3 linked regions of the Coturnix japonica genome follow. The protein of the gene in region 2 interacts with the protein of the main gene of each other region in a pairwise test. Links are inferred from orthologs where the notes say so. Each region holds a gene or a part of one and is shown on either strand. Other genes may lie near its edges.

Region 1 (2,700 bases), on a different chromosome or scaffold from region 2:
GTGACCCACAGCTCTGTGTGAGCCCAGAGGAGCTGCAAGCACTGCCCACAAAGCTCACGTCCCTCCCAAGCATCGCACACAGGGAATGGAGCAGGGTAAGGTCAGTGCTGCCCCTCTCTGCACACAAACACTGTGTTCCCCCATAGTGTGCCTTCCCTCACTCACTGGCTGCATTCTCAGCTCTCAAAAAGGTCCCACTGCTGTGTGGTGTTGCAATGGCAGAGCCACAGCTGCCCCAAGGACTGCCCTTGCAAGTGACGGGGGCAAAGAGCAGGGCAGAGGCCCTCTCTAGGCTTCTTTGGGCCAAGTGAGCACTCACCCCATAGCCCTGAATTCTACAAGTCCCATAGGAAGTAAGGCAGGGGGCATGGCCCCAGTGCCAAGGACAGGGCAGGGGGAAGGAGTGCTCTTCCCTAAGGCCGGGGCAAGAAGGGGAGGCAAAGGGCACCATCTCCCCATTCCCCACAGGCAGTGAAGCCCTGGAACATTCAGACATTGGCTGAAAGGCAACTACAAAGGGATTTAAAATTCATGTAAGGCTGGGCCCGGCTCCCCTCTCAGGGCGTCTTCCGCTAGGGGGAGAAAAGCAGCCATCTTCAGCGCCATGCGCGCACAGCGCCCTTGGAGCTCCGTGTCCTCCTGTCGGGCCACGCCACGCTCCAGCTCTCCCCCCTGTGGGCAGCAGGCTCAGAGAAAGTCAAACACCCCGTAATTCTTTGCTGCTTGATAGAAGAAACACAAAAGGGTGACAAGAAAGAAGAGAATGTTTAGGGCGGAAGGAGTGAGGCAGCAGCGACACACGGGCAAGCAGCACAGGGTGCTGGGATGGATGCGGATTAATGGGGTTAGAGAGGATGGCAGGAGGGAATTACCATCAGGAGGGAATAACCATCAGCAATACATGGTTCTGGTGGCGGGATGGGCTGGTGGAACGCAGCAGGGCTGCCAGGCCCGTCCACCCCACTTGAGGAGGGATTAGAATCAAGGTTTAGTTCCATTTATTATTTTTTTTTCCCTTTTTTTTTTTCTTTTAGTTATCAAGACAAAAAAAAAAAAAAAAATCCCAAAAAAACAAGGGATGAAGCCAGGGCTGGTCCTAGGAGACAAACGATGGGGATGGAAGGGGGGGAAGGAGGGGCAGCAGACAGACAGGGGACGGGCGCTTCACATTACATCCACAAAGAACTCACTGGGGTTGCCCATGGCCATTCGGAAGGACTGTCTACTGGCTGTCAGTTCGGGGGGCACAGATGCCAGGTCACGGCCCGGCGGTGCCCCGGGGGGCCCCATGGCTGACGGTGGTGGAGGCATCAGCAACATGGGGGGGCTGAAGAGAGGGGGGAGGCCGGGCGGCCCGTAGGATTGCTGGCTGTGATGGCTGCGGATGCTGTGAGCCAGAGAGTGCTGGCTACGCTGGCTGTGCTGGCTGGCAGGCACCGAGCGCTCGCTGGCCGCACGCTCACGCCGCATGCTGCTCCTCGTGGTGTGGTCTGATTCACTCCCACTGCCACCGGACTTGGACTCTCCGGTCTTCTCTCTTTCCTTCCTCCTCTCGCTGCCACTGCGATTGGAACCACTGCTCCGGCTCCCTGCAAAGTACACATGGCAACATTAGGAATCATAAGAAGGGACAAGTCAGGAAGAAAGGATGCTCCTCTAACCAAGAGAGGACTTGAACACACTGCAGCACTGCCTGCACAGTCCATGCTCTCAGTCTCTCAATGCTGAGTCACATAACCCTTCTGGAATTCACCAAAACGAAGGCTTTTATGCTTGCTCCCCCCATACATTAGGTGTTGTCTAAAGGAGCAGCCTTTTCCTGCTGCATCTGCCCACACAGGCACATTCTGATATTTTCCACTCACCTTCACTGTGCTGGCTGCCTGCACTGCCCCCTCCGTAGCTGTAGCTTGGGTCAGGGAAGCCGGGGTGTGGGTTGTATGGGTGAGGTGGTGGATACTGATACGGGAAAGCCATGGGCCAGGGTGCAGCTCCTGGGTGTGGGAGCGGAGCCAAAGTGTCCTGATCTGAAGCACCGCTGGAGCCATCGTGATCATGAAGGGACAGATTAGCCATGTCTGCAAGAAAGCAGAGAAGAGGGCTTAAGCCAAATGGAAAGACAGCCACATGTGATGCTGAAGCTCCATGTCCGCCCTCACAGGGACAATGATGGGGCATGCAAGGAGACTAAAGGACTTGGCACTCTCTCTGCCATGAAATACAGGCATTTGCCCTTTCTGGCTGGAAAACAGGCTGGGTAAAACAACTTTCACATCAGAAAGGACCACATCACAGCTATCTTCTACCTCACTAATTAACTCCCACCAGCCCCCTCATTTAAGCATAACTCAGTTGTCTGAGCACTTTCCAACCCTGGAAGTTCAGGGCCTTGAAAAAAAGAGATGGCAAAGACTAAGGTTATGCAGGTGAAAAGAACACAGAGCAGGTGACACTGTCAATGCTGCTTCCAACTTCACAGCTCCATCAGCACAACAAACAAGTTGGGATATTCTTTATCCCACTCTACCAGAGTCTGCAGAACAAAGAGCTCAGTCTGGTGGTAATAACTGTAGGTACGCCCTCATTGTGTTAGCAGAGCTCTGCAGGACTTTGTCTCCCTTCATCTTTTCCCTCTCACTCATGCCAAACCAAGAGTCAAGTGTCGTACTTCCACAGAGGTCCCCGAAGATGTAATAGCAC
Region 2 (11,425 bases):
CCACTCGGCCAGGAGCTCTCCCCGCCAATTATTCCACACGCTAATCTCTCTGGATAGGCTTCTTTCCTTCCTTCATTACCTCATTCCCTCCTTCCCTTGACGTCAACTCACGTTCGTTAGCGAAGCGGCTTCTGGAAGTGACAGAATTGTGTTGTCCCACTTCCAGTTCTGATTAATCAGAGGCGATAGACCCGGCCTACGAGAGGAGCCGCCGCGGCTTCCTTCGCGCAGGGACATTGTTTTGTGTGCTGCAGTTACTTAGCAACTCCGAGATACGGGACCGGCTCCAAGTTCACAAAAAGTTGAAGAATAAATTTTGGGGAACTTCTCACTAAACACGTTGTAAAACTGCGAGAGGCACGCCCAGCCCCCACGCCACACCAAAAAGGAAGAGAAGCCGCGATCGCAGCGGGCCTTCTGTTTGCGGGAGCAAAACTCCACAAGTACTTTCTTCCCAGCAAGGAAATCTGAGGGCTGTATCGCCCCGTGCTCCAAAAATCACCTCTCTGCGGTCCGGTCCCCTCCGCTCAAAGGAGTGGAGCCCAAACCTTACAGGGAACTGACATACAACCGCCCGACCCCGCACACTCTCGTCGCGCACCGCTGGCCCTGCCCTGCCCTGCCCTCCTCTGCCCAGCCGGGTCGCTGCGCCGTGGGGCCGGAGCGGGGCAGCCGCGCGTGGGGCTGCGGGCACCGGGCCCCGCCTCGGGCAGCGAGGGATGTTCTGGGACACGCTTGGACCGGGCTCGGCCGGCGGAGCCCTGCGGCCCGGGAACGGGGACGGCACCTGCCGGGTGCCCGGCTCGGCAGGGGAAAGCCCGAGGCGCGGCGGGTCTGGGCTATGGGGCCAGCGCCAGGTTTTTACTTAAACGCGTGCATCCTATTTTCCTTTTTGTTGTTGTCGTTGTTTTGCTTTAGTTTGTTTGTTTCAAGAGGAAAGCAGACCCGACCTTCTTTTCCCGCTGCAAAAGAAAGCCGTTGGCGCAACACGCCCGGCAGCAGAGCATCCCGAGCAGCAACCGAAGCGAAACGAGGGGAGTGAGAACGGGGCGAGGCGGAGGTACCTGTTGTAGGGGGTCCGCAGGAGCAGGGCCTGGCTGCCCGTGCAGCTGTCCGTGGGGGTGTGACAGCCGTACACCGGAGGGGGCACCGAGTACTGCTGGTCCCCTGCGGAGAAAGGGACAGGGTTAGCCCGTGCCGCGGCCGCCGTCCAGCCCCGCGCCGTGCCGGCCGGGCCGCCCGGGAGCCATTACCTAGAGACGGCTGCTGGCTCATGGGGTCCTCGTGTTTGAAAGAGTGGTTCGTAAACTGCGCGGCGTGGTGAGACGGCGTGTGGCCGTAGCTCGGAGTCCCGTCAAAGGCCACGGTGCCGTAACCTGCCGGAGAAAGCACCGTGGGGTCAGGGGGCTGCCCGGCCCGCACCTGCCCCCCGCAGGGCGGCTCCACGCGGCCGTCGAGTGAGAGAAGCCCCCAGGGCAGACCCAGCGCCGCGGGCACAGCGGGGAGAGGCGCAGCCAGGGGCGCCCCCATCTCCGCTCCCCCAGCACACCCACGGGCACCTGGGGGGCTGGGGGCGCAGGGAAATGCCTGTGTGACCCCGAGGGGTGCGGGGGTACCGGGGTGTGGGGCTGGCGGGGTACAGGGGGGCAGCTCCCGGGAGGGCCGAGGCGGGCAGCCCGCTCCTTGGGGAGGAAAGTCGGAAGTCTCGTTCACGTTTCAAGAGAACAGATCGGCTTCGGTAATAAAAAGGATGTTTTCATTAATTGTTGCTCATATTAAAGAGGAAGATTCCCATCTGCTCTGTGTACTCCTCTGCCGTTTCCAATTTAGAAGTTACCCTTTAATCTCTCTCTCTTTTTTTTTTAAGAGCAGCTTTCTGAAGAGTCTGCAATAAAGAATGTTTCACGCAAAACTAAAACTCCTCCTTTCAGCGAAAATTGCTCTCCAAAATAACAAACAGCCGATTTGGTTTCCTACGCTGGGCAGATTCAGATGGAACGCGAGCACCTCTGCTGACCCCGGGCCGCTGCGAGCCCGTAAATCAGGTGCTCGGACACCGACTTTCATTAATGACTTGGAGCTGGCTAAACAACTTCGGCTAAGAAAGTAATTACAAAGTAATATTATCTCGGCGGCTTCTCGGCTCGTCAGCAGTTGCCCCCAGAACCGAGCTCCTCCGAAGTCACTCTTCCAGCAAAACAAAACAGAAAGCCCGGAGAGGGCTGGGAAAACAAACGAGGCCGGCCCCGAGCGCCCGCTCTCACACCGTCCCGTCCCTCAGCCCGCTCCCTCTTCTCGGGCACTCGCCGGACTCCTCTGCCAGCCCCCTTCGGACCCTGGTGCCCGGCTGATAATCACAGGCGCTTTTCCGAGGCGTTACGATGGGAGTAACGCAAGGATCCGGGTGCCGTTTCCGCAGTTGATTGTCTCTGCAGACAATAAAGTGGATCGAGCCGCGATACGGGGGTTGACCAACCTGCTGGTGTCCCCATCAGAAAAAATGTCCCCAACAGAAAAATCCCGAAGGCTTTATAGCCCTCACCTTCGGGACTGGTTGGAGCCGACCCGGCACGGCGGGGCTCACTCGCCCCGGCCCATCGCCTGCCCCCGCCCGGAGCCGCTCACGGCGGTGCGAGCGGCGCTGACAGCGCGGTACCGTGCGGGATGCCGGCCCACAGCTGCGCCTCTCGCTCCTTATCTCCTCCCTTGGCCCTCAGGGCAGAGGCTCAGCCTTCAACTCCCTTTCCCCCTTTTCTTCTTTCTTTCTTTTTTTACGTTCCGAAAACATTGACACTTTCTACGGTACATTTGGCCCGGCGCAGATTTTTGGCGACCTTCACAACGCAGCTCGGTGCAGAACGATGTTTTGGCCGCATTTTCCGGTGTTGCCTGACCCAAAGCTTCAGGAATGTGATAAGAAAGCCGAGTTCTGAACCGAGCTGCCGATAGCGAGGTCTCTTTAATTAGGGCTTTATCAGAGTCGGGCCTGATTAAAATGTGCTGAAAATAATTGAAAGCTATACAGCTGCTGCAGCACGGGGCCCGCGGGAGGACTCCAGTTGTGGAGGAGCCCAGCTTGGATGAAGGAGACGGGCGGACCAGAAGGGGAAAGCTGGGCAGAGCTTCCAAAGCCTCGCTCCCTACCCCCACGCCCCAGCCTAGACTTGGCTGAAGTGTCATCGCAGAGCCAAGGTAACGTCTTTCCCACGGTCGGAAGAACAGGCTATAAGCCCGGGAGTTCAACCTTGAGGAGAGCGAAAACAAGAACTTTTTATCCGCTGCCGAGAATAAATAAATCAATCAATAGAAAAGCGAGCACCCTTTGCCGAATTCCTCCTCGGCGAAGGAAGGAACGCTACCCGGACGGGCCGGAGCGGGAGGGAGGGAGGGGCTGCGCCGCAGCCGTGCTGCCCGAGCTCTGCCCCCCGCAGCAGGGCACGGCCACGCACACACCTGCACGACTCGCTGCCAAGTGCGGGAGCTGCCGCCGTCTCGGGGTACAGCGGTGTGCCCGCGAGCTGCGGAGCCGCCCGCACGGAACCCTGCCCGGCTTAAGGCCGCAGCCAAGACGGGTGCTGTGTTTCTGAGCGTTAAAGGCTCCCTTTCGCTTTGGGGGCTTAGAAATCAGAGGGCACCCACTTAACCACCTTGTCCTTCTCGTCACTACTTCTGCTCGGCCATTAAAACCGTCTCAGATATCTGAAATGCTTTCAGGTGTCCGAACAACACCAGCGGCCCCGTGCTGCGACGGCCGCCTCTGGGGATGCCGCGTAACTTCCCCAACCGAGCTGGGCCCTGCGCTCCGCTCCCAGTTTTTCGATATCGGCAGACCGGCAAACGCCTGGTCCGGGCCCCCTCTCCTTTACCCCGGCCCGCCTGGGAGCAAAGGCACCCCGCAACAGCCGGGAGCTGGAGGCCGGCCACCCGCAGCACCCAATCTACGGCCCGAGGCTGGCTGCTGGGCCGCGGAAGAGCGGAACACCCGCCGGCAGCGCAGAGCCTGCCCCGAGACCCTCCGGTCGGCTGCGACAGCGCTGCTCCGGGCCCGCTCCTCCAGCCGCCTCGCCGTGCGTGGGCACCTTCCCCCGGGCCGGGCAGAGCGGGGACGGAACGCGGCGGGAGGCGCAGCCCGGGGATCCCCAGCGAGAGCTCCGCTCTCTCTCCCTTCTTGTTCGCGTTAGCTCCAGCAGATGTTTACATTGCCGCCGCTGGAAGAAAAACCATTAAGCGATAACCCCGTTCCGTAGGCGGGGGCTGACCGATCGTTAACCGCGCACCCACGCCAATTTCTGGGGGCAGCGCGAACAGCGGGGCCACGACGCTTGCAGCCCGCCGTGTCCCTGCCGCGGAGCCGCCGAGAGGGAACCAGAAGCCGCCCGGTGCGTGCGGCCCGGCCCGAGGAGCCAGCGCTCCCGAGGTAGGTCCGACAAACGCCCGGAGAACAGCACCGGGCGGACAGCAGCCCGCATATTCAGGAGGAGGTAAACAACTCTACCCCCGCCCCTACACTGCACGGCTTGCAGAGGGAATGGTCTGAGGGCAGCCACCCCATCTCCACGTCGGGACCGTCCTCAGCCCGAATACAGTCCCGAGAAGAGAGGAGGCTGCCGTAGCCAGGGCCGAGGCCGGGGTAGCCCGCTGCGCCCTTGGGAGAGCCGAGAGCGGCTCCCGGAGCTGCCCGGAGGGGCGCGGCAGGGGCTCCGTACGTTCGGCAAACGCGGGTCGGAGAGCCCACGGCTGTGCCCGCGGGGCTGAGCCCGAGGCCGGGTGCTCGGCGCCGCCCTTACCCTGGTTGCGAATGGCTTGCTGGCTCTCCAGGCAGTTAGGCAGGTAGGGCCCGTTGGGGAACATCCTGGCCTGGCCGGAGGGCGGCTGGCTGGGCGGCGGGGCGCCGAAGGGCCCGTAGCGGCAGGCCCCGGCCGTGCCCGTGAACTGCCCGGAGAAGTGGACGGTGAAAGCGCTCAGGTACTGCTCCTCGTGCGGGTCCGACCCGTTCCAGCTGGGTTCCTGCTTGATGAAGGAGTGCGGCCCCAGCGAGCCGTAGGAGGCCCCCGGGGGGAAGTCCAGGACGGGAGCCCACTGCGCCGCGCTGCTCACCGGCATGGCGCAGTTGCTGTTGCCCGGTAGGGAGGGCACGGAGGGCAGCAGCGCGTTCAGGTCCCGGACGTCGGACCCCATCTGCTCGCAGACCTTCTGCCTGCCGCCGGGCAGCCAGTCTCCCCCCGGGCCGCACTTATTCCAGGACACCTGGCCTCTGCCCGCCAGGCCGGAGGCCGGCTCCGGCTGCAGGCACCAGGCCGGAGAGCTCAGCCCCTTGGGGGAGGTTTGCTCCGCGACGCAGCTCCCCGGGTCCAGCCCTGCGGGAGCGGGCAGCAGCGACAGGGAAAGGTTGTTCTCCAGGATCGCCTCCGGGGCCGCGCCCGCTCGTAGCGCAGGGCGGGGTGCGCGCGTGTCCGTGCGGCCGCGGCCGTGTCTGTGTGTCTGTCCGCGCGTGCCGTGGGGGGGGGGATGGCACAGCCGCCTCGCACGCCGCACCTCGGCTGCCTGCTCGCCCTCAACTTTGCAAAGCTCAAATAGAGGCGCTCGCAGGGGAGGAGGAGTCAGCCGCGAAGATCCTCCATTCACACAACCTTCGTCAAGGGGCTGCCCACAGCCCGCTCTGCTGAACCGACCCGGGCCAGCCGGGGGTGGGGAGCGCGGGGGGTCGGGGGGTGGGGACGCGAGGACGGAGGGGGAGAGGTTACTGTGGGAGAATATATCTCCCTTACGCATCCCTCCCACCCTTCCTCCGGTGCAAGCGCCACTAAATCTCACCCTAACATCCCTTCGCTTTTGAGAGACCTGGCGAGACCGCCAGAGGGATGCGGGCGGCCCCGTAAGTACGTGCCGCACCGCTTCCCGCAGCCCCGCGCACGTCCCGCGGGACCCCGGGCACCGAGCGGAGAAGCCGCCACCCCTGCAGGCGAGCCGACCCGGCGAGGGAAAAATGTGTCCTTCCAGGTGCTCTCCCCGTGCGGGAGACGTCCGCGTCCCCCGAGCCGCCCGTGCCTAGAGGGGAGGAGGTGGCTGGGCTGCCGCGGAAGGACCGCAGCACAACGAGCGCCCGCATCGGGGACTCACCCGGCGCAGCTCCGGGGAGGACCCGCACTCTCCCTTCCCTACCCAGCCCGGACGGCGGCTCCGCAGCACGAACCCGGCGGCACTTCACGCGTTATCTCGGACAGCCCTCCCGGTCAGCTCGGCGGGTTGGGGGCTAGCCCCGGCAGCCAGGGGGCCGCGACCTTTTCCCCGCCCCTACCGGCAGGGCGGACGGCGAGGCCCCCGGGACTCGGCCGTGCCTGCCGCGGCCAGGCGCACCACGGCATCCGGCGCAGATACGAGCCCGCCGCCTCCCCCCGTAGACGCGTACCAAGAGCGGGATCCTGCCCCCCTCCTCCCGAAGTACTCATCGCTATCGACCCGGCGGGGGGAAGGCTGAGCCCCTGGGGCACGCGTATGACAGCTCCGCCGGGCCGCTTGTGGGTGCGCTCCCGTTGCGCCCCGAGCTCGGCCGGCAACACTCGCACCCCCGCGCCCCGGTCAGAAGTCGCTCCCCCGAAGCTGTAGTGATAAAAGCGGTTACCTGCCGCTGGAAGGGTGGGCCCCGATGTCCTCCGGTGGCAACTCGCGCTGCGGCGTTCACGTTCCCCGCGGCATTAAAGGTTAGCGCTGCTTCCATCGCCGACCTCCAAACGATGTTTTAAAATTGCTGCAACAAAATAAATCGAAACGGCCCGTTACTGGCGAAGTCGAGTGTAATTTCATGTTGTCCTTACATTGATTAACAACACCCGTAGGGTTCTGCTACTAGTGAAACGGCGTTCATTTTCACACGCAGTCTTCAGACAAATCGCTTTTAAATCGCCCTCTTAGATGTGTACATAAGTGCGTTTGTTACACAAATCCGCGCGCACGATAAGTGCGAAAGGTTTCTTAGCCAATACTAAGGGCTGCGTAACTTTGAAGGAGCTGCTGCTCTCTGTGAGGACGCACAAAACGAATTTGGTCTCGGGAGATGAGCGAGTTCAGCCCGCTCCCGCGGAGAGAGGAGACCGCTCCCCTCTGCCCCCGCCCGCCCCCGCTGTGTGCTCGCAACCCGCCGCTCCCGCACCCGAGGGGTCCCGAGGCGTGGAACGGTGCGAGAAGGTCGGGGCTGCTGCTGGACCTGGACTTTCAGAGATGGACCAACATGTGGAGTCGGTCCCGTTAACCGCAGGCTCCAAAAATCTACAACGTACGTACTTAAATACAAACCCTTGTGTAGCTTAAGCAGAGCATTTGATTCCCCGTGAAAACCAGACTTCTCTTAGTACAAACAGAAAGCCCTTCCCGCAGCGGAACGGTTCCTTAGTTTGCATGCTTTTATCTATCTATCTTTCTTTTTTTTTATTAGCCTAACTTGAGAAATATTCTGGAAAAGGAGCAACGTTTTCTCGATCGCTTAGTTCTGCATTATTCCGCCCGGGAAGAATACCGAAGCCCTTCCAAATCTTCGCCCTCGCATTCCCAGCAGACACAGCCGAGAGCTGAAGCAAACAGCGCCCTCGGCCATCAGCTCATCTCCCTCCCGGCGGCCCCCGGCTCGGCCCGCAGAGACCCTGCGGAAGGCACCGCGCCTGGCACCTGCGCCTCCCGACACACGGCAGCCCGCAGGGACACCGGGCAGTGCGGGACGGAACGGGAGGACGCTCCTCAAAGCTGAGCCGGGACACGGCTTCAGCCGACAGGGGCAACCCGAGAAGAGGGGAGGGCTGGAGTCTTTAGGGAAACAGCCGGAGTCAGCTCCCGCAGCCGTTTCTTTACAGTCAGCACAAGCGAGAGATAAAAGCTCCCTCCTCCTTTGCGGGGTCGGAAGCGCTCCGGGGCCGCATGTCCCCTTCGAAGCAGTGCGGCGGGCACAGGGGACACCGCTCGCATCCTTCCCGGGTGCCCGGAACCTGCGCCCGGGCCCCTCCGGCGGGATCACGCCGCGCCCCGCAGCCCATCCCGGGCTCGGCGAGGCTCAGAGCGCAGAGCCGCCGGCTGCTCTGCCGGGTACCGACCCACACGGCCGGGACCTTCCCACCCTCTGCCCTCCAAAGTCGGTCCGAGCCAAATCTCGGACGGGCAGAAAGATGGGTGAATAGTTTTAACCTATAATTCCCGGGAAACCATCCACGTCCGATGCTGCTCACGGGCTAACGGTACGAGACCAACCAACGAGTATTTCTGGGACAGGGGTTGTTCTACAGAAAGCTCCGCTCGATCCTGGGAAAAATGGGCTCAGGGCGCTGCTCCCGAGCCGTGAAGCACCTCCCAGGCAGCGTTCCGCTCTCCGCTGCTGGGCCAACCAGTTAACGGCCCAGCCATCCTCACCACGCTTTACTAAGCTCCATAAACGATCCCCTCGCGGCTCGAAGCGGGGGGAGACTGGCTTAAACAGAGATAAATCCCCAGCGCTGTCGGAGCCGCTCACGGCACGCAGGGGGATCTGTGTCCTTTCACTCGGGGAGCCGATCAGAGTTTGATTACTTAAGCGCCAAGAGCAGCAGAAACAGAGCTGCGAACAGCTCTACAGGAGCGCGGAGAGGCGAAGAGGGGCCGAATTTCTGCTCACACCGCGGGCTCACACCGCGGCCCGACCTCGCTCTCCCCGCAGGAACAGATTCGGGCGGGGGAGACCCCCGGGCCGCCCGCTCCTCCTCGCAGCGCCCCCCGCGGGCGGCAGCTCCCGCTCGGCCCGAGGCCTCGGTGCCGATCTCGGCCGGGAGCCGGGACTCAAACCGCTTTTCTACCGTAAATCTTCCGAACGCTGGAACTAATTACGGAGGGGATGTGTTTCAATTTGTTCCGCATTAGCGCCGCGCCGGACCGCGGGCACCAAGCACGGGAAATTGATGAGCCGAGCCCCGGGCATCCCGCCGGCTCTACGGCCCTGACCCCGCGCTCAACCCGGAGAGCGGAGCGGGGAGGGACGGGACGGGCTCCGCGCTCCGCCTCCCGCACCTGCGGGACCCCGCGGCCACCCGGAGCTGCGATCGGAGCCCGGGACGCTGCGCTGTAGCGCCTAAAGCCCCCGCGAAGGGCACAAGAGCCGAACTGTGCCGAACTGCCGATGTGATGCTGGGAGCCGGCGCAACGCAGGGTGTCTTTGCGCTCCCTGCCCTGGCCGAGGTGCTGGGGATGCTCAGGCTGTGCCAGCAGTCGGCCACAACTTTCGGATCCGGTATATGTGGCGTATTGAAAGTCTCAGTTATACAAGGGGAAATATTCATGGAGCGGCTAAAATTATGAAATAGAATTCTCACAGGATTTTGGTACTTAGAAAAGAAACTGGGTGAAAAAAAAGCCCTTAGGTATATAGATAGATAGAAATGCCCAGGTCTTTACATTATCCCCAGTGGTTCTGAAGTAATTAAAATTATTATTTTTGGAGGAGAAAATAAGAATATACTGTAGAACGCAGCACATCATAAAAATGGATACATGGAAACCACGATCTAAGGGATTCATTTTTCCTGTTGTAGAATGCAGATTTCACTACATAAGTATATTTCACTCTAAATGCAATAGTACAGAAGGAAATCAGAAACGGTACCTGTTACACACAGAGATCCTAAGAATTCTTGGAGCTCCCTGGGATGTTGCATTTGAACACAGATACACACCTGAAATGTAAAAGAAACATTTATAGATTCAGAAGTGATAGGAAACATTCAGAGTAAACCTGCTGTGCTCATTGCCACACTGCAGTCTTTGTGGTCACCAGTGGGTAAGCAGCGGCAGCTGATAGCACCAGCAGCCTCAGGTCTCGCTGCCTGTAGGGTGTTATGGAAGGGGCACAGAACAAGAATTGCTCCGTCCTGGTTTCTCCAGCAGATCTGAACCAACCATGTTTTTCTTAATACTATCTGTGCCTGCTTTCACGTTACAGCATCACTGTGAAACAAGCACACTGCAACAGCACAAAGTCCATATCTCACTTTGTTCTTTCAAAGCCCCTTTTTGCAGTAACCCTGCATGAAGATACTCCTTCCACCAGCCCTCCTCAGGGGAAGCAAATGATGTTTTGGGGAGGTTGCTCTGACTTGAGCTGAGATCTCAGTACTTTTCACAGGACTCAGAGGAATACGTGCACACAAGCACCTGACTAAGGGTGCTTTAGGGCAAGAGCTGTTCCACTGAAATCAGTGCTGGAGGATTTCAGTCTATAAGGACGTAACACCTTGCTGCATGCAGGGGGGGAAGCAGGCAGAGTCTCTTTGATTACAGATGCCCAGGAGACAAGGTGCAGCCCTGCAGCTTCATTAGGAACTGAGCACACCTCGTCCTGCACTTAACTGCAGTCCTATGAAGGCACACCTCTCTTCTCTCTCTCTGGACTGAATGTACTGATATGTCTGGATTGCAGCAGTACACAAAAAGCAAATAAGCTCATTATTTTCCTCATCCAGTCAGCTAGAAGCAACAGTCAGTGAAAGTGTAGCTCTGATCAAAATGGGAACTTTCCCAGTTCTTTACTCTGAAGCTTCCCAATGTATTCTTTTGTTTGAGGCCAAAGATTTATGGCCAGGCCCTCTGTTATGTGCTAACACTGCTGCATGTGATAGACAGTTGGAGATGAAGCTTGTGGGAAGAGGTGCAGGAAGAAAGGAGAGAGAGGGAGCTCGTGTGTTCAGCTTGCCTTAGAAGTCAAATTTATTTGTTATGAGACACAAGAGACTCCTTTCCCTTCAGATCTGAAGGATGCTTGATTACCTTACATCCACTTGAGTACTGTTATGACAAAAGAACTAAAAACACCAAGATCTTGCCGTAGCCACAAAGTCAGAGACTCTTACACTGTTCATCTCGACAACTTCCCTGTTTCTCCCTCCTATAACATCATAGCAGGGTCCAATGAATTACAGATCAGAACCAGGACTTGCTTTTGTGATGGCTTAACAAGCCTCTCAAAGTACTTTACATGTTATTTGAAATGAAAGAAGCAAAACAAGGAGAAAAAAAGAAACCTTGCCAACTTGTTCTCTCTATATCTGTATGCTGAAATGAAACAATGAAAGGAACAGCTAAATAAGTGGGACTCCTTTCTAGGGATCATGTGATCTTAGATCAACTGTTCCATGAACAGATTTGCAAGTAGCACCACAACGCTAATCAGGATATTTCAAAAGTTTATGAGCAGTTGCTTAGGAAAAACAAGATAAAGCCTATGGAAATCTGATACTGGTCAACGGTGCATTTATTCAAAGCATAATGCTGACTTCAAGTCTCCATAAATCCTTTGCAAATGAAACTTCCATTGTGATCACTGTTCCAGATCTAAATGATTTATTTCTTTTTTCTTTGGTAGACCTTAGATATATCTCAGAATGCACAAGTTATGCACCCATTGATACAGAGTTAA
Region 3 (10,626 bases), on a different chromosome or scaffold from region 2:
AGGCCTGGTTTCAAGGGGTTGTTAATCGCTGTTGGTGTTTAAAAGACACGTGCCTTTAATACACTGTACAGGGTTGAAGGTGGAGCCACTGACTTGCTTACCAGACCAGTGGTATATGTGAGCAGTGAACAGCAGCTCACTGATAAAGCCAGAGTAACAGTCCTAGTGCTGACCATGTAATATATAAGTAAGTCTACAGGTAACACAGAGACTAACTAGATAGGTGCACCACTTGTGGGGGTCAGATGCAACACATTAAGACTGATTGAAATAGTACATGGAAAAAAGAAGTTACATACAGCATGCTTAATCCAATTCACAGAAGAAAAAGTTGCTTAGATCAGCCGCTAGATGTTTCAGAGGTTAAAATCAAGCAGAAATAGGCAGGGTCATTTTTCTAAGCAACACTAGTGAGACCAATAGGCACAGTGCTCCCAGTGATAGCTCTAGATCCAGGAGAGAAAACATCCAATGGGGTAAGTGAAGAGAACAAAGTAAAACTCTAAAAAGAATCCTGCATGTTGCTGTGTGCAGGTCTTACCTATGACATGGGCAGTGCTGCCAGAAGCAAGCAGCTCAGCCCTGAGAGCCTGCTGGAGAAAGGCTTGGCAGCAGGCCTTGATAACAGGCCCATTGAACGCACCACAGCAGTTCCCTTTGACATCAGGAGTCTGTGTGTATTTTTCCCATTTATTATCATATAAAATATGAGCTGTAAGCTGAGGAATTTGTCAGAATTTGACCCATGCAGAGTGGGATGTTCTTAGGGCTTCATAATGCAGTAGGAATAGGCTACAGAAAGAACTGTTATGATATGTCCTCCTTTGTTTTTTTAATATAACAGATGTATCAAACGTAGCCATCCCTTGACTTCAAATGCAATGGTTGGTGGAACAGGTATGTAGAATACTTCACATTTCAACATTTTCAGCATACCACAGTGTGAAACAAGTCAGTTTCTTAGGTGGACATTTCTAAACAGGAAGCAAATACAGAGGTCTTTTGACTGTCACTTCACTCTGTTATGCCTGGGCATACAGTAGAGGCACTGGAAACCCCTGTGTCAGTACTGCAAGCAGAGGCAGGGCAGCAGCCTGTACCAGAGCTTGCGAGCAGCCTGGCACTCCCCTTCAAAGGTCAGATGCCATTAGGAGCTACCCACCTCAACTGCTGAGAACGAGGCACTTAGAAACTTTTTCGTCTATTTGATCTACTTACTCTTTTTGTTCCATTTGAGTTCTCTTTCTCACGTCTCTGCATATCTCATTTTCCAATATCCATTTTCTCCCAACATCCATGGCCCTTAATGCTCGTGAGAACGCTTCATGCACCTTAACTCCATCAGCTAAAATAATCAGTATTAAATAGTTAGTGCAAAGGAGTTGAAAAAAAACCATGTAAAATTACTTATTCCCTAAGGCCAATGAAGAGAGTCCTTCCCTCAGTAATGAAGCATTGTGCAAAATGAAGACTAACACTAGATGAAGTTTAATTCAAATAATTGGGGAAAATCTCTTTGCTGCCACAAACCATTTCTTTTCTTTTGGCCTTATTTATATAAGCACTTATGTTCAGAGATCTTAACCTAAATTTACAGGACTAAAGACAGCAGAAGGGGTGAAGTCTGAACAACCAGGTTTAGAATAACTTACCTCATCTTGGAATTTGCCAGCAAACCCACATGGAGATCCACAAAGGGAATCAAAGTGCATTGTAATGCATAGGTGTACAGAATAGCTCCCCCCCTCAATATCCAGTTAAAAGCCTCAAGAATACCATGCAAACTTCAGTTTTTGTTATCAGCCAGCTGTACTCTAGAATGAGCAGCGAAACTCTAAGTTTATCAGTAGGTATGACACAAAATGAATTATCTTAATCAAAACCAACCTGAAAACAGGACTTTCCTGAAAACAACGCACCAGCAGTCATCTCCAGGATTATTAAGAGCCATACCATAGGCTGTATGTATTGACAGCCAGAATGTGAACATTACTGATTTTAACATTTATCTGTGTATTATTATACTGCTTTTCACTATTCTGCAGTAAGCATTGCAAAAAAGCAAGCCGGTTACATGATAGAGCAGAACCACCACCATTCTCACAAGGTTTTCTACCATATGTATTATCAAGTCATTGTAACTGTCTATCATTATTACTACCCTTTTAAACTTATAATAATATACACAAAGTATCTTAAGTACATATATATACACAGTATAATCAGGTGATATTAAAGCCAAATGTAAAGCACCAGCAAATACATATTTATGTTATCAGGGATTTTTGTAAACCAGAAATTACCTTTGGATGCCGGTACTTTTTTCTTGTCACCTAATTTCTATTTGCCCAACTGTCCATTAACTGCTTTTTTTCAGGCAGTAAGGGCTGAAGTAATGTTCCAAAAAAAAGAAACAACAACAAACCACCCCATGCGGTATCACCAATAGAATCAATACTTCCAGTGACTGCTGAGTTGTTTTAAACCTCTAATTAAGCTCTATGAAATTAAAGTATCAGTGGTACATAGACTAGTATGTTTCCAACATACACAAAGGCTAATAGTAGTTGTAACTAATTCTACTTTTTGCAGACAGTAATACTAGAGGTGTTAATTCTCATTTAATACAATGGAAGCCCTTCTATAATCTATGATTTTACTATCTAACCTGTAGTTACACCCAAGTATCTCCTAACTTTAGAGAAATATTACTTTCAAACAACAGTTCCTGTATTCCCAAAGTAAATGGCACACTGTAAGCTATTTAATATTAATTTAGCAGATGCATGTGAGGGAATTGCATTAGCTGTCTGGTAACTGCAAGATTCTTAGTTAGAAAAATGCTGAAACCAGACTTAAGTCGACCTGAAAGTACAGTTAAATACTCTCCTTTTTCCCCTATCAGCAGTGCTTGCTGAAGTTGGTACCCTTTTCATCACCTTCCATATTGCTACAACCACAAACAGACAGAAAACAATCACCAGAAATTCAGGTTCTGAGAAATTCCAGACTTGCTTTGTTCAACAGCAGCGTGTTCTCCCCCCTACTTGCAACACCTACAAAGTCAGTTCACTAAGCTCCCCCTTCCATAGACCAATCAAAAACAGTATCACCTTAAGAAGTAATTCAACCGCTTAGAAGTACAAACTAAATTATGACACATTTACCTCCAGGACACTTCCTAAGTTTTAACAAGAACCAGTTTCAAACTATGAAGCTTGCTTTTATTAATTTTTTTTTGTTGTTTTTTAAACTATCTATAAGGAAAAAAAAAATATATATATATCTGTAGAATAAATACTGAAAGGCTGGCCTGAAATTAACATGATAACATAAGCACAGGTACTTGGCATAATCTGTATTAGATAGGACTGGTGCAGAAACAAATTCAATCCAAAGAGTATGACACCGCATACAAGTAAGCCGTGTAAGCCAAGGGAGAACAATGAGGAAATTACATTATTAAAAGTTTTTATTTAGGTTTGGTCAGTACAGGTAAGATAATATTGGAGTCACAGAGCAATATGCATAAACAGGATACAACAGTTCTTAAAAACTGAGTAACTATGCACACAATTCATAAACATTCGGTCACCTAAGGAGAAAATGCACAGATGTATGGTGGGAAAAACTGTAATTAACACTGAAACTACTAAGGGACTCCTTCAGCAAGTCCATCTTTTAGTGATAAAACTACTGTACTGGGCAAACTTGGCAGTCATAAACCCACAGCTATTATGACAAATCTCGAAGGTGGTGTTAAGTATAACAGTATGAGTAAGAATGCCCTTACACAGCACAGGTTCTAGATATACACAGATTTGTACAGACATCATTTATGTTATACTTTATGGAAATAATTTCCATTTCAACTTCACATTAACTCATATAAAAATAACTTGAGCTACACAAATGTCCTTTTAGCAACATTCAACGTAATTAACTGTTAAAATTCCCAAAGTGGCAGAGGTATCGAAGCAAAAAGAAATCCACAAAAAGGCAAAAATTGTGACAAGTATGCACTAATTTAAACGGCTTCTGAACAGTATCCTCTCCCAATTTAAATGACACTGTATAAAAATGCTGCAGAAAAAATGTTACAAAACTGAACCCTGCACATTTACATTGGAGTCCAAACCATTCTGGACATGCCGAGAACCCGTAGTTCTGTTACCTTTCACGCTTACTGTTTTCTCCTCTTGAGGATCATGATTGGAGTCTGTGTCATTTGAATGGTGAGTGAGAGAGTTTTCACTGCCAGTGGGAGAGTCTACACTTTCATACCCAGTACTGAGTTGGTTTATGTAGCTACCACCTCCTCTACCAGTTCTATCTTCAGAGTGGTTGGACAGCTTATTACCATTCCCTGGAGAAGCCGGGAAGTCATCTTCCGCGCTGCTACCCTCCCTATAAAATCCAGGCCCAGACGTCCGCTGATGGGAGGAGCTACCATTGCTTGGTCCGTTAGCCAGACGGCTGCAGTCTTTCCCCACAGCCTCTCCCTGGTCTGTAGGCTCAGAAGATGGAGTCCTGCTGGTACCTGGGTTGGAGGCCTGGGACTGCTGCTGCTGGTACTGCGCCAACTGCTGGCGAGTCTCCTTCAACTGCTGCTGAAGCACTAGAATGGTACTCTGCATACCCTCTACCTCCTCATCAAGCTGGATGATGAAGTCATTCAATTCTAAACAAAGAAAACACATGTGTTGCAAATACTTAATAACCCACATACAGCTTGAACGTCAGACAAGAAAATTTAAATCCTGTAGCAATATTTTATGCTGAAGTTACTCAACCAACTTTTTCAATCATTAGATATGCACACCATTTTGATATTCTGCCTCTGAAGGAGATGTTAAACTATCAGCTATACTTTTTATGTTTATGACTTTGGATATATGAGAAGAAATTCATTTCTGGACAAGAAGATGCACGGAAAGCAGCTCAATTCCAATAATTCATATTTTGCAAATAGATTCTAACATATCTGCTTTTACTGAAGTGCAGGGCATTGCAGAAATACTGTAAAGGTGACCATAAAAAGCTTATCTGCATGGGATAAGTTCTGAATAATCACAAAAACCTACCCAGTGACAAAAGAATTGTAGTCACATTTCAGGGAAACATCAGCTCCGGCTGCTTATAATACATTTAATCCTGTGTAACATGACACAAACAGGGAGGGTAAAACTTCTGTTGAATTTATTATCAACAAAAGTTCATTCCACAAAGTTCTTATGTACAGAAGAAAAAAATCTTTTACAACTGGGGCTGCATTTTGGACCATAAAGAATTTGACCTGAAAGATAAACATGGCAGCCTGAATTCAACTGCACATTAACGAAACTGAGCAAGTAACATGCAAACTGCTTATTGTTGTAAAAAATCAAAATTAAATGCCAGTTAGCATGGAAAAAAATCACTAAGAAAATATCAGGATTATCATAGTCATTGTTCATATGAGGAAGAAGTTGGGGCCTAAAAACATAGTAGTTCTGCAGCTTACTTTACTACACTGCACTCAAGAGCAGAAATCATTAAAGAAATGTCTACTTTGCTTTGGTTATGAACTAGGTAAGGTACTTCATTTTAGTTTATAAACAGTAGTTACTAAGGCTACTTGCTACTAAAAAACACCATACCCTTAAAAAAAAATAACAAGATATATTAGACAAATGCCAAATCATGTCCATGCTACCTTACAGACACCAGGTGTGAAACAAAGATACCTGGGTTTAATTAATTAGCTCGTCTCAAGATTTAAGTGTACTAATCAGATCATCTATTGTCTAATCTACCTGACTACAAGTACTTTCATCAAGCATCTCAAAGAACACAGAATGTGGGCTGAATTTTCTGCTGAAGATTTTCAAAATTTGCATTTCCCTGCCATTTAAAACATACAAGATGCCAGAGTTTACAGCTAATTCTAATTTACATTCACAACGCTGTAAAATTTGGATCATGAGTACAATAATGGAACATTTTAATTAATCTCAGCTGCTTAATAAAAAACTGCATTTTTATTCTTCTTACATTCTCCCCCCTCCCCCCCCTTCAAGTAATTCCCAAATGAGTCAGTTCACAACCTTTCTGTTTTTTCAATGCATGCTTACCTTAATATCCCATGTTAAATAGCAAGACCTACAAAGTCTAGTAGTTTTACGTTCAAATCCCACATTACAAGGAGCTGCAAATCCCACCAGTAGTCCAAAATTTAACCTCTGTTCTATTTTTTGGTGGCATTTTTTTTTTTTTAAGGCTACCAGTAGAGACTTAAGACAGTCACGTTTTACTTGGTATTGCCCTTTAACTCTGGCAAAGACTTAAAAAAATACCCATATCATCAGAATATTAAGCTAGCAGAAGTGCAAGGCAACTTCCATTTTCTTAAGAAAATCCCTTACCATCCTGACTGCTTTTAAGTTCCTCACTATATTTCTTCTGTAAAGCCAACTCTGCCTCAAGCTGTGCAATACGTCCTTGGGACAGCTGCCTTCCAAGCTCTTGATTCTCCTGGATAAGCATTCGACACTTCGCCATTAACTTTTTGCCTGTTTGGCTGCAAAGGAAAGAACCAATCTATCACAAATTGAAGACAAAACCTTCTGTAACCTTCCTCAATCACAATTACAGACAAAAAGGAGATACAATTTCTGCATGTCACAATTCATGGAACATTATGTCTCAACATAATTGTCATAGCAGAAAATCTCCCTATATTACCGCATGCTGTTCCAGCGTCAGTTGATCTTCTGTTGATGTCCCATAAAGCAGAAGGCAAGTTTTATTACTGCAAACATGAACAAGCATCGTTCTTTTTTTGATACCAGAAACTGGATTACCAGCCCGCACAATCTTGCATGTGCTAATTCTCAGCTGAGTTAAGTGATTAAGGATGTGCCTTGCAATTTTAAAGATTAATTACTGCATTCAAAGTGCATACACTAAACTATTAACAAAAGCCTTTTTCCTTTATCACATGAGTAAAACTAAGAACAAAGTTGGGGCAAAATATTAAGAAAATGATCATTATGTTTATAGTGACATCCATTTTTCCTCTGAGAGGTTAGGACATTCTTCTGAATACTGAAGAGTTGCATGTCTACTTTTCAACTCAATTTGTATATCTGACAGCAGTGTACAGTAATTCCTATAATCAGCTTTTGCTCAGCACATCTTAGATGATGAGGAGAAAGTAAAATGCAGTTAAAAGTTGGCAGGAAATTAAGGAAGCAGTAACACCCATTTAGAATGACAAGTTCAGATCATAAATGTTTTAGAATACCCAGTTTCTTTGAGAAGTGGGCAGAAAAAAGTACTCTGAGCTGTCAAGATTTTCTCTGCTAAATAGGTAACATCACATCATTAATCATGACGAATAAAACTGTACTGTTAAGCATTATAGGAAGTAGTATGCAAATTAATATATAGGCAATGTGGCCGACTCCATAAAAGAGGAAGAGTTCAAAAGTCCTTCAAACTGTCTGCCAAACTCACAATAGTGTCCACAATCAGTTCTTTTACAAGGCTCAGCAACACAATGTAAATCTGTCTTCCTACAGAAGCATAAGCCCTGTAGCAAAAAAAAAATATAAAACTATAAACCATGAACAGGTTTGTTGTGAATTCAAGGGCAGGATTTGCATTACTATCCAAGAGCAAGAGGGTCATTTAAGTTTTAAGTGACAAAGAAAGAAATTTTGAGGATTAAAAAAAACAATAAGAAACTTCCACTACTGTGATTCACAGCCATATTCTCTTTCTCTCCTGCAACCAACACAAGCAACAAAAAGAATTGTAAATAGTAATTTTCTTATCAACTACCTTTCAAACATTAAAGCCTTAAACAATTTTAAGCTCTGCAAACTCTGCCTCACAGAACATTTTCCAACTGACTCTCCCAAATCTCAGATGGGCTGCTCCAGAAGAAATCTGGCTGCAAAAGGTCCTGGAAGCCTGCAATTCTGCTAAAGGCAGCAACCTGTTTTCTTTCTTGATGTGATGTCCAATGTCAGGTCCTTGAAGTTTAAACTGTGTTGAGCTATAATACAATCCATGTAACACAAGATGCAAGTTTTCTTAGAGATGTTCATTCTGCGCAAAGAAGCAGGACCACTTTGGAGATGACCAATGTGATGCAACCCCAAAAGCTTTTCGGCAGATGTGCATTGATTTTTAGGCATTTGCAAATCCTTGTCACTGTATTCATCATTCACTGCAAGTTTAAGGAGTTCACAGTGCTGAAGTCATTTACTGTTTTTTCTCTCCACAAAACAATGTCACCTGCAGAATTAGAAGTACCAGGTAGCCGGACATTGGGACAGGTTTAAAAATCTCATCAGTTCCTTCATGTAATTCCTGCCAAAATGTAAAGTATTTATTACCTGTATAGAAATTTGCATAGTTACCTATAATGCTATTTCTTTCCATCAAGTTTTTTTCCAGATGTTCTGAGTTAGCATGGCACCAAGTAGCCTTCCCTTGCAATTTACATAGAATACAACACATGCAAGAATATCAAATCCAGTAACTATGAAAAGTAATTCCTACTAGCTTTAAAACTAAAACTTGGCATTGTTTCCACAAATCCACTTGAACATACACACAACAAAACCTGGAAGAATTAAGTGGTTAAGTTTCAGAAAGCTAGTGCTCTTTGTATTAAGCTTTTTGCAATTGATATTACTGGTTTTTAATTCAAGTGTACGTTGTACGTATAATGACATTACAAATAGCTTAACATAACCGTTCCCTCAATCAGATGCTCTTCTATTTCTCTCCCTAGGCATTAGCAAGGATTATACTGTACACTTTTATCTTTGGTTAAGGTCTAGAACTAATACTGCTTAGTGTTGCAGTCAGCATATTTTCTTAAGAACACACAAAGCTGTTGATGTGAATAGAAGCATCAGCTCTTTTAAATACCAAGTCAGATACCATGTAATAAGAGTGGTTGCATACAAGGAAGGAGAATTAAAACCAAGAGGGGGGGAAAAGGGCAAAGAATTAAAAATTCTATAGATGCTTTACATGATTTAATCATTTCTTTGCCCTTTCAGAAAAAAAAAAAAATCAATAAAATCATGACCAGTTATGCAGATAGCTTCAGTTCTATACCAGGAAATAAAATCTCTCTCTCTCTACTCCAACTATTGCATATTTAATTATGCACATTCACACCACTGTGACTTAAAATTATATGATGCATATTAAAGCACAATGTAGCTACGGAAGTGACAAAAAAAAAACTGATACCTTCCTTATCAGGAAACTGGTAATAGTTACTTCTGTCTCAGTTGTGTCTCACTTAAAGACTCTGAGAACTTGAGGAAACCCATCAAGCTGTACTTAATGGTATTTGAATCATTTCTGAACCCCAAGTAAAACAAGCAATCTACATGGCACGACTCTATCAGCACATTATAATAAGCTTTACAAATGCCTTGGCGACACATTAACAGTTTATTAACGCAAGTCTTACCTCTGTTTTGATGCTAGATCATTAAAATCTTAGACTCTGCTATAGCAAAATAATCCCAGATGAATCACTTAAAGTTTTCCTAGATGTTTTTCTTTGCTGTTAAATCATTACTCATGCAAAAAAATAAATCTGCGTAAGTACACTAATCTTCAATCCCATATTAATCCGTCAAATGCACAGGTGATAATTTTAAGTTAAAAATATGTAACATTACCTTAGTTAAAATCATTGAAAGAGAATACATCACCTTCTGTGACAGCTGAATCTTTTTTAACTTAAAACTGCATTTTTCTAGAATCAGACAGTCATAAAATATCATCCAACTGACGTGAAAAATCAAAACCTTAAGTTTACTAGAGCTCAATTTGCCAAGATAAAAAATAAATATACAAATGCTATATCAAATCTGAATTTCACTTTACACACCTCAGATCTGCACTCCCAGCTGTCCCCTGTTGCTACTCTTACAAATAACTTGGGACAACAGAACAGAAGCATCAATAGAGTAGCAAAGGTTCCTTCACTGATTCCACCGAGGAAAATGCATGCATTTAACTTCTTGTGCTTTGTTAAAATCGTGTCTTTTTTTTTTTTTTAATTCAGAGAACGAGACAATGCAGAAACAACAACCTGGTTGATTCTCGTTCGTCCCAGGAGTTTCACAGTACAACAATATAACCAATAGTGTTCCTTGAACTATATATTACAACTATTTCAAGGCACATTTTATATAGAAGTGCAATACAAAAAAAACAGGTGTACAAAGGAATAAAAACACCCCACCAACACTGAAGACAGCTGTCATTGTGTGCCTTCCATATAGAGCATTTGAGATCAGTTAATATAGAAGATCAAAAAAATCTCATTTCTGCATGAAAACATGCAGTGTAATACTTATCACAACTAGTTTTTCTTATACACGCTAGTTGTGATCAAATATATACTGTTTCCAACAACTTTAAACCTGCAATTAGATAGAACGTACGTTCTTGTACAGTCCTAATTTTGAGGCGTCCACAGCATTACCAACCATCCAGAACAGTTCATTATTTAGCAACATTGACTTAAGGCTCCGTCAGGTGTTACAGAGCCCAAATGCTTAACAGTCAAATGTGTACACTACCACTGACGTGATATCAAATAGC

The links.
Region 1: the proteins of WT1 (region 2) and DVL3 interact in binary tests that used the Homo sapiens proteins (3 or more experiments, as listed by UniProt). The link is inferred for Coturnix japonica from reciprocal best matches to the Homo sapiens genes WT1 and DVL3.
Region 3: the proteins of WT1 (region 2) and WTAP interact in binary tests that used the Homo sapiens proteins (3 or more experiments, as listed by UniProt). The link is inferred for Coturnix japonica from reciprocal best matches to the Homo sapiens genes WT1 and WTAP.

What each region holds. Positions count from the first base shown.
Region 1 is NC_029524.1:13,824,245-13,826,944, reverse strand, and holds the end of DVL3 (segment polarity protein dishevelled homolog DVL-3), read right to left. Parts: coding exon 2,669-2,700; intron 2,079-2,668; coding exon 1,866-2,078; intron 1,590-1,865; coding exon 1,191-1,589; coding exon of another isoform or gene 1,165-1,190; exon of another isoform or gene 720-1,164; coding exon 688-719; 3' UTR 501-687; downstream 1-500. UniProt on the Homo sapiens protein: Involved in the signal transduction pathway mediated by multiple Wnt genes.
Region 2 is NC_029520.1:4,406,454-4,417,878, reverse strand, and holds the start of WT1 (Wilms tumor protein), read right to left. Parts: upstream 5,589-11,425; 5' UTR 5,563-5,588; coding exon of another isoform or gene 5,509-5,562; 5' UTR 5,179-5,508; coding exon 4,788-5,178; intron 2,652-4,787; exon of another isoform or gene 2,543-2,651; intron 1,377-2,542; coding exon 1,254-1,376; intron 1,168-1,253; coding exon 1,065-1,167; intron 100-1,064; exon of another isoform or gene 85-99; coding exon of another isoform or gene 80-84; intron 1-79. Other genes in the region: uncharacterized protein LOC107314335, read left to right, coding at 5,509-5,562, 5,641-5,875, 6,001-6,245, 6,402-6,743. UniProt on the Homo sapiens protein: Transcription factor that plays an important role in cellular development and cell survival. Recognizes and binds to the DNA sequence 5'-GCG(T/G)GGGCG-3'. Regulates the expression of numerous target genes, including EPO.
Region 3 is NC_029518.1:41,041,941-41,052,566, reverse strand, and holds the end of WTAP (pre-mRNA-splicing regulator WTAP), read right to left. Parts: exon of another isoform or gene 9,444-10,626; intron 6,560-9,443; coding exon 6,405-6,559; intron 4,682-6,404; coding exon 4,098-4,681; 3' UTR 3,455-4,097; downstream 1-3,454. UniProt on the Homo sapiens protein: Associated component of the WMM complex, a complex that mediates N6-methyladenosine (m6A) methylation of RNAs, a modification that plays a role in the efficiency of mRNA splicing and RNA processing.